2 linked regions of the Saccharomyces cerevisiae S288C genome follow. The protein of the gene in region 2 purifies or fractionates together with the protein of the main gene of each other region. This does not show direct contact. Each region holds a gene or a part of one and is shown on either strand. Other genes may lie near its edges. The genes, in order: FRA1 and TSA2.

Region 1 (4,804 bases), on a different chromosome or scaffold from region 2:
CTTTTCGCTCGGTGCTTCTCTTTCCACGGAAAATCCTGCTCCTGCTCCATGGAACCAAAGCAACGGGGTCTGGCGGAACCTATAATCCGTTGTGACCGGGCCCGCATAAGGAATTCTCGGCTCTTAAAATAATCTATCCTGCGCAGAAAATACTGGCTGGCAAAAAAGAAATACTAAATCAGACTCCTTGTCTTTACGTTGGCTATGTAGTCCAAGCTTGGCAGTACTACTGGTGCCTGGTTATAAGATTGATTTTTGTGACTCTTGCGGAAAGGTTCGCCGAGCAGGGACCCTGGATGAAAAAATTTCTTGATGAGGCATCAGTATAAATCACTAGGGGGCTGTACATGCATGGTCGTTTAAAATCCGACTACGCACATTAACTCTTTTTGGCACTAAAAGCGCTCGGGGTTAAGTGTACCTACCCCTCTCCGGCCGTAAAAAAATGAAGGTAATGTTTTCAATTTTCACCTTTTAGTCATTATTGTTGTTATTGTTATCACTCAAATTAAATAAAAAGAAAGAAACTACTTAGAATAAATACTAACATTAATTGTATTGCGCCCCGCTCGCCTCGAAGTCATAGTGGGCTTGTTTCTCTTTTCAGCCACTTGTATGAAATACTCTGAGGCTGCAGAAAATGCACTATTGTCCTCCATACCCTTGCGTGGTACTCGTTAATCTGTGTTTTTTCTTCTTCGTTTAGTAACTTAGTATTGATCAACTTCCTGCAATAGGGAACCACAGTCATGTTTTCGAATTTCAAGAAGTTACCCTTCTCAGTGGCCTTCTTGATTAACATGTCGCTTTCAATCCTGATACCATACTCACCATCCTTATAATAACCTGGTTCGTTACTTATTATGTTACCCGCTCTTAAGGGGAAATTCATCAGATGTGGCCTAAAGCCGACACCCATGGGTCCTTCGTGAACGTTTAAAAATGATCCGATACCATGGCCTGTGCCATGTTTGTAATCTAACCCGCGGGACCATAAAAACTGCCTAGCGATGGCGTCGATATTAAACCCGGGAGTGTTTTCGGGAAAAATCAACCTCTCTAGGGCTAAGCCACCTTTAAGTACCAGTGTGTAATTATCCATTTCTTCTTTGGTTGGCTTTGTTAAGTGAATTGTTCTTGTTATATCAGTTGTACCCTCCAAGAATTGCGAACCGGAGTCGCAAAGATATATCTTGGTAGGATCAATCATCGAAGAGTTCTCTACGGGCGGCGAATAATGTATGATGGCGGCGTTACTACCTGTGGAGGATATTGTTTCGAAGGAATTGCCCATGAAGTTCCTTTGGGTTTTCCTAATCTCGGTCAATTTTTCTGCGGCACGATATTCATCTATCAGTGCCTCGCGCCCCACTAATTGCTGCTCCAGCCATGCAAAATACTGCACTAAACATACTGCGTCTTTGACCTGCGCCTTGTGTGCGTTTTTTATTTCGATGTCATTCTTGATAGATTTCAAAACATCGATGGGTGAGTGAATTATCGCAAAGTTTTGTGCAGTCATTTTTTTAGCTATTGCACCGTTAGCGTTGGTTGAGGTGTTCAAACAACGAACCATCTGCCACGATGCACTATCAGGAATCAAAAATTCATGCTCCGCAGAAGAAGCCTGCGAAGTTATCTTTGTTAAATGTTCCCATATCTGTTCGTAAGGTCTGACTTCAATACCGTTTATCTTAAAATATTCCGATATGTCATCATTGAAGGGGTTATTGGTGAAAAGAATGGTTTCGTCTTCGTTAATAGCCACGTAGGAGAAAAAAACTGGATTATAGTCAATGTCGGATCCACGCAAGTTCAACAACCAACAAATTTCATCCAACGCAACTACTATGAAAGTATTCCTACCGGTCGTCGCAGAGGAAGCCTTATCATTCAGCTTTTTCAGTAACTTTTCCTTCTTGTCTTTGAATTCTTCACCATGAAACTCGTATTTTAACAGTAGTAAATCGTTACAAGGCCTTTCAGGTAGAGTTTCAAAATCAGGCCAAATACTGTCAACTAAGTTTTCCTCCACGGGAACCAGCTCCACTTTACCCTTTGCGTCATATTTAGTGTCAATCATTTTTCTAAAAGAAACATAGTCGTTGAAAGTGATAAGTTTTGGGTCAATACCTATCTTCAACACCATTCCCTCTTTATTGCCAAGTCCCTTGGCCATTTCCAAAGCTTCTCTGACACACCATTCTTGCCAAGTGATTGGGTCTTCGTTTTGCCTCAAAAGTGTCCAATTATAATCTAGTTCTTGTCTAGCTTGATTGAAATATCTTCCATCAGTACTCAAAATGGATTTCCCATCCGGATGGTCATCGTTGAAATTTAACAAGTCTCTGGTGATACAGGCTACACCGGCCGATCCGGAAAACCCTGAAATGAAGGCGCGCCTTTGATCTCGCAATGATACATATTCGGACTGATGTTCGTCACAACTGGGCACAATATAACAACACAAATCGTGTTTCTTCATCTCCTGACGCAACTTCAACAATCTATCAGTAGTGTTAACTTCCCTGTTAACAGCGCATAGAGAGTCACATGAGTAAACAGACCCATTTCCAGCACTGCTACCTCCGCCAGCGCCCTTCAACTCGTTGAGAAGCATGCTGGAGGACCTCCTTGAATTTTCTAACTGTCTTAAAAATAGAGAGGCTCTACGACCTTGCCTAGACAGTAAGCCTGGAGAACACGTACAATCCGCACATGGCCTAAACGGTCTGGGGCTGTGTGATGCCGATGTTCCTCTCATGTGCGTGCCAGGTACATGGGAAATCGAGTGAGCCCTGCCGTCACTGGTGGATGGTTTCGAAGTCATATGAAGATTTTGTTTGTAATTATTGGTTTCGCTCTGTTGAGGTCTCCGTTTTTTTTTTATTCTTTTTTTTTTTAGCTATGCAGTCTTTTTGCCAGTGCTTCCTGCCTTTCCTGTATTTGTAAATATTGCACCTATTAAGACTAAACTGACTCAGTTTTTGTATGTCGCTTCCTTCTTGTTCCATCCCTCATTCGAAGTATTTCTGAAAAAAGAAAACGTAGAAGAAAATTCGGGAAAATGGGGTGCGATTTTTAGGGGTCACCCGGGGATATACCTTCGGGTAACACCAGAAGTCGTCAAAAACAAAACAAAATTAAACTAAACTCTGGCGGCTAAAAGATAATCATAATGCACATAGGGAAAGCTTTCTACCATATTTGAACACTTTAACGGTTAGTTGAAATAATAAGAAATAATTATATGTTTATTTTTACGTGGGTTATAAAGACGGGTAAATTATCTTCGTTATTACTCATGAAAACCTACAAGTAAGCGGCTCAATGGCATTTCGTGGCAGATAATCTTCAGCTATCATTATTATTTTTGAGAGGATGGTTTTTAGGAGCAGTTTGAGGAATAAACAAGAGCTTAATGTACCGTTATACATTTTTAAAAAGCTGTCTTTTTTATTGGGTTCACAGCTCTCATTTTTTTCCATGCAAAATCATTTTTTTAGCCGCCGATGCTTCAAAATGGGTTTAAGATATTTATTGTTTAAATGTTTCTGCATCTGGATTCACTGAAAAAAATTTAGACGCCTAACATGTATTTTGCATTTAAAGGATTATGCGGGAGAAGATTTCTGCCCATTGCCTCTTTTCTTACTATATTGAATAGAATATTATTCCAATACTGGCTTTTTTACAATTCATTAAAAGAGGAAAAGACATTTCAGAAAATTTTCTTCTCTATGAACCTTAAATGTAGGAAAAAAAAGGAACCAAACCACATCATTTACTCTCAACCGCCTTTCTTGTTGGGGTTCATGGTACAATTGCAAAGTTGTGTCAAGTTGTTGCCACTCTATCTTTTGTTTTTGTTACAGGGTAATGGCGCACATTATGCAAGCGCGATGACGAGCAAGGTACTTTCTTTTTTCCTTTAACATTTTGTTGTCCACCGGAAAATAAAAAAAAACAAATAAATGGGTAAGATCAAAAAAGGAATAGAAGCATATGTTTTAAGGGCAACGCCGAATCGTCAAAGAACGGGAGGAAGATCAATACATTAAGTGGAAAAAAAAAGCTCCCGTAATATGGATGAAAAGACAATTAAAAAGTCGATTCTTTCATCTTCCAATGATGAAAAAATAATATACAAATCGCGAATAAAGAAATTTCAAAAGAATCATAAATTTTATATTATTCTATTGGTTTTCATCGCCATTTTACAATTCATATCAATAGCTTTTTTCACTCGGGGATTCTTACTGTCAAGACACGTTCTTGATAATATTTCCTCACAAAACGAAACGAGTAAGTTACCTCCTAGGTTCAACAAGGCGGTGATTTTGGTTATTGACGCTTTGAGATTTGATTTCGCTATTCCTGTAAACGAATCCCACTCTAATTACAACTTGAACTATCATAATAATATATTATCATTGTATGATTCTTTTGCAAGCGATAAGGATGCATCTTCCCTATTGTTGAAGTTCATTGCCGACCCACCAACCACTACTTTACAAAGACTCAAGGGTCTCACAACAGGGTCCTTACCGACTTTCATTGATGCCGGGTCTAACTTCGATGGAACAGTAATCGAAGAGGATAACTTTCTTAAACAGCTCCATTTGGCAAATAAGACTGTCAAATTTGCCGGAGATGATACATGGATGGCTCTGTTCCATCCGTTCCTTTCCAACGATAGTTTCCCACTAGAATCACTCAATGTGTGGGACTTAGATACTGTCGATAACGGTGTTATGGATTACTTCCATGATCATTTACAGCAGGACAAGGAATGGGACGTCAT
Region 2 (3,314 bases):
GAACATTAAAAAAGTAGGATGAATTAAAAGTAACCGTATCTTGAATATAATGCCCGGGGGACATCCTTATTATCAAGCCAATAACCATACCATAAAAAATAGAAAGCACAGTTTCATGCACTGCCCTAATTCGTTTCTGAGTTAAATAGTAACTAGACCACAATGCAGAGATCAATAGGAGCAACATAATGAACAATGCCCATGAAGAGAACATTTCTTCTGTAACAGGGTTTAAGTCTACATCAGGATCACCTGCAATAGGGTCATCGCTACCCGGGAGATCCGGGGAAGGTAGAAGTTCATCATCATCGTCAGGATCAACTGCTCTCTTGGCGGTGGTTAACAGCACCTTGAAAGCTATATTCAGCAATACCTTGGATAGCATTTTTCATATGGTATGTACTGACAGCGATAAAAGATTATCCTCTGAATTTCACTGCTTGCAATCTATGTTTAATCTACAACTATTTGTCAATCTTGGGTGCCCTTTATCTTAGAGTAGCTAGAAAAGCAACGGAAACAGAAAAAGTCACACCGTGAATAATGATTGTTCGATATCAACTTTTGCAGTTCCTTGCTATCACGTTTGTGCAAGGTATATCATCTGTCATAATCCTTTGGCAAGACTACTGCTCTGCTACTCCTTGTGTGTGCTCACGGCAGGCTACAATGCAAAATTCATCCTAAACTCTGCTCTATAAGCATTAATAAGGTGAAATTTTCACAGCCTTTACATAAAAAACGACAGTAAGTGTATAAATGTGATTGTCAAAACTGCGACGATTCGAAATGATAGCTATTTGAAGTGTAGGTTATATCGACAGGAAGTTTCGGTTCTCGAAATATGTGATGCGTCTTTCCGGCGGCGTCGATGCTAATAGCAACCGTACTCATCGGTACATTCCAAATTTCGAAAAAAAGCTTGGAAACACATAAAAAAGAAAAAAAAAAATACATTTAGCATAAATGGATACACAATGGCGTTTCTTTTTAGTTGATAACTACAGTTTACTTCGGATAAAGATTAGTAAACCTTTGCGTTATGTCCCGTCCTATCGTAATTTCTGGCCCAAGTGGTACAGGTAAATCTACACTGTTGAAGAAATTGTTCGCTGAATACCCAGATTCTTTCGGGTTTAGTGTTTCATCCACTACTAGAACCCCAAGAGCTGGCGAAGTAAACGGTAAGGACTATAACTTTGTCTCCGTAGATGAATTCAAATCTATGATTAAGAACAATGAATTCATTGAATGGGCGCAATTCTCCGGTAACTACTATGGTAGTACTGTCGCTTCCGTCAAACAAGTCAGTAAATCTGGTAAGACTTGTATTTTAGATATTGATATGCAGGGTGTCAAATCTGTCAAGGCTATCCCAGAGTTAAATGCCAGGTTTTTGTTTATTGCTCCACCATCGGTCGAGGATTTGAAAAAAAGATTAGAAGGTAGAGGTACGGAGACCGAAGAATCCATCAACAAGAGGTTAAGCGCCGCTCAAGCTGAATTGGCATATGCTGAGACAGGTGCCCATGACAAAGTTATTGTCAATGATGATTTGGACAAGGCCTACAAGGAATTGAAGGATTTTATCTTTGCAGAAAAATGATGTAGCCCTATATAGACATTACTAAGTATGTACCTGGTAGGAGAGTGCTGTCGCAAAGCGACAAAACGTCCAATTATTCAATTAATATAGTGTAAAAGTTCTCAACGGGCTTATGCTAGTTTTTTTTGTTAGTAAGCGCTACGACGACTAGAACCATCTCTTGAATTTCCAAGTGCCAAAATCAATGACCACGGATACTGTGGCCAGGAATCTGTTGGTTGGTCATCCTCAAGATCTAGACAATATCATATTGGGCCAGTATCTGATTATCTTAACTATATGCGCCCCTCTAGTTTACAAGTTTTAGTCATTGGGGGTTGGAAGGGCTGATCCCCCCTTACAATTGGCGTCGTTTAGGAGCGGGCGAGGCTCTCCTTTCTCTTACACATCTGCTAAGGTGTTTGTTACCCGAGTAATCAAGGATCAACTATGGATGAGATTTAGATTAACGTATTTAGAGCAGACGATTGTAAGAATATATTTTGTAATTTCGATTGTTTTTTGCTACTTACATTGTTTATCTTGAAATATCCAAAGTGAACACTATTACTGTTTTTTGCTCAAGAATATATTAGCCTTACAAGAACGTAAAAAACCAATCATGGTAGCAGAAGTTCAAAAACAAGCCCCACCATTTAAGAAAACCGCCGTAGTCGACGGTATCTTCGAGGAAATTTCACTGGAAAAGTATAAAGGTAAGTACGTTGTTCTAGCTTTTGTCCCATTGGCTTTTTCATTTGTCTGTCCAACTGAGATTGTTGCGTTTTCCGATGCCGCCAAGAAATTCGAAGATCAGGGCGCCCAAGTTTTATTTGCCTCCACCGACTCTGAATATTCCTTACTGGCATGGACCAACCTTCCCAGAAAAGACGGTGGATTAGGTCCAGTTAAAGTTCCTTTGCTTGCTGATAAGAATCATTCCTTATCCAGAGACTATGGCGTTTTGATTGAAAAAGAAGGTATAGCTTTAAGAGGTTTGTTCATAATCGACCCGAAGGGAATCATTAGACATATCACTATCAATGATTTATCTGTTGGCAGAAACGTCAATGAAGCTTTGAGATTAGTCGAAGGTTTCCAGTGGACTGACAAAAATGGTACAGTTTTGCCATGCAACTGGACCCCAGGAGCCGCCACCATCAAACCTGACGTTAAAGATTCCAAGGAGTATTTCAAAAATGCCAATAATTAATCTTCGCACGATAACGCTAGGCCCTATTAAATAATTAAAAATACATCACCCTATATATGATAAGAAAGATGGTTTTGTATTATTATGAAATTGACTTGAAAGAATAGTGTAACAAAAGAAAAAGAAACTGTAATTGAAGAATGATATGCATTTCTATGTGTATATTAACTTAATCATCTTTATATCCAGAAGACGCAAATGACCATTCGACGTATTTTTCCCATGCAGGTTTGTTTTCGTATAATCTGCCTGCAAGATCCAAATAACTTCCTACTGTTAACGAATCCATTGAGTATGGTTTCTCGTCTGAGGTATATTCTATCTCATACCTGAAAATATCCTTAGATTCAACAAATGAATTATGTAATTCTTGATTGATTTTTTCCAAGTCGGCGTAGAATTGGACGAAACGCGTCGGAGTGAATAACTGCGGTACATATGCAGGGCCGAGTTCGTATTTGTCTGGCATCTCAATTGGCATAGTCTTGTCATTTTTCTTTTTCTTCTTGTTTTTCT

What was found.
Region 1: the proteins of TSA2 (region 2) and FRA1 purify together in Saccharomyces cerevisiae (affinity purification with western blotting; 2 studies listed by BioGRID, with this or other methods). This does not show direct contact.

Annotation. Positions count from the first base shown.
Region 1 is NC_001144.5:79,487-84,290, reverse strand, and holds FRA1 (aminopeptidase P), read right to left. Parts: upstream 2,831-4,804; coding exon 581-2,830; downstream 1-580. Other genes in the region: RRT7 (Rrt7p), read left to right, coding at 3,594-3,935; mannose-ethanolamine phosphotransferase GPI13, read left to right, coding at 4,086-4,804. UniProt on the Saccharomyces cerevisiae protein: Involved in the regulation of the iron regulon in responss to decreased mitochondrial iron-sulfur cluster synthesis.
Region 2 is NC_001136.10:1,364,556-1,367,869, reverse strand, and holds TSA2 (thioredoxin peroxidase TSA2), read left to right. Parts: upstream 1-2,207; coding exon 2,208-2,798; downstream 2,799-3,314. Other genes in the region: bifunctional K:H/Na:H antiporter NHX1, read right to left, coding at 1-385; GUK1 (guanylate kinase), read left to right, coding at 1,043-1,606; PPN1 (endopolyphosphatase), read right to left, coding at 2,968-3,314. UniProt on the Saccharomyces cerevisiae protein: Thiol-specific peroxidase that catalyzes the reduction of hydrogen peroxide and organic hydroperoxides to water and alcohols, respectively.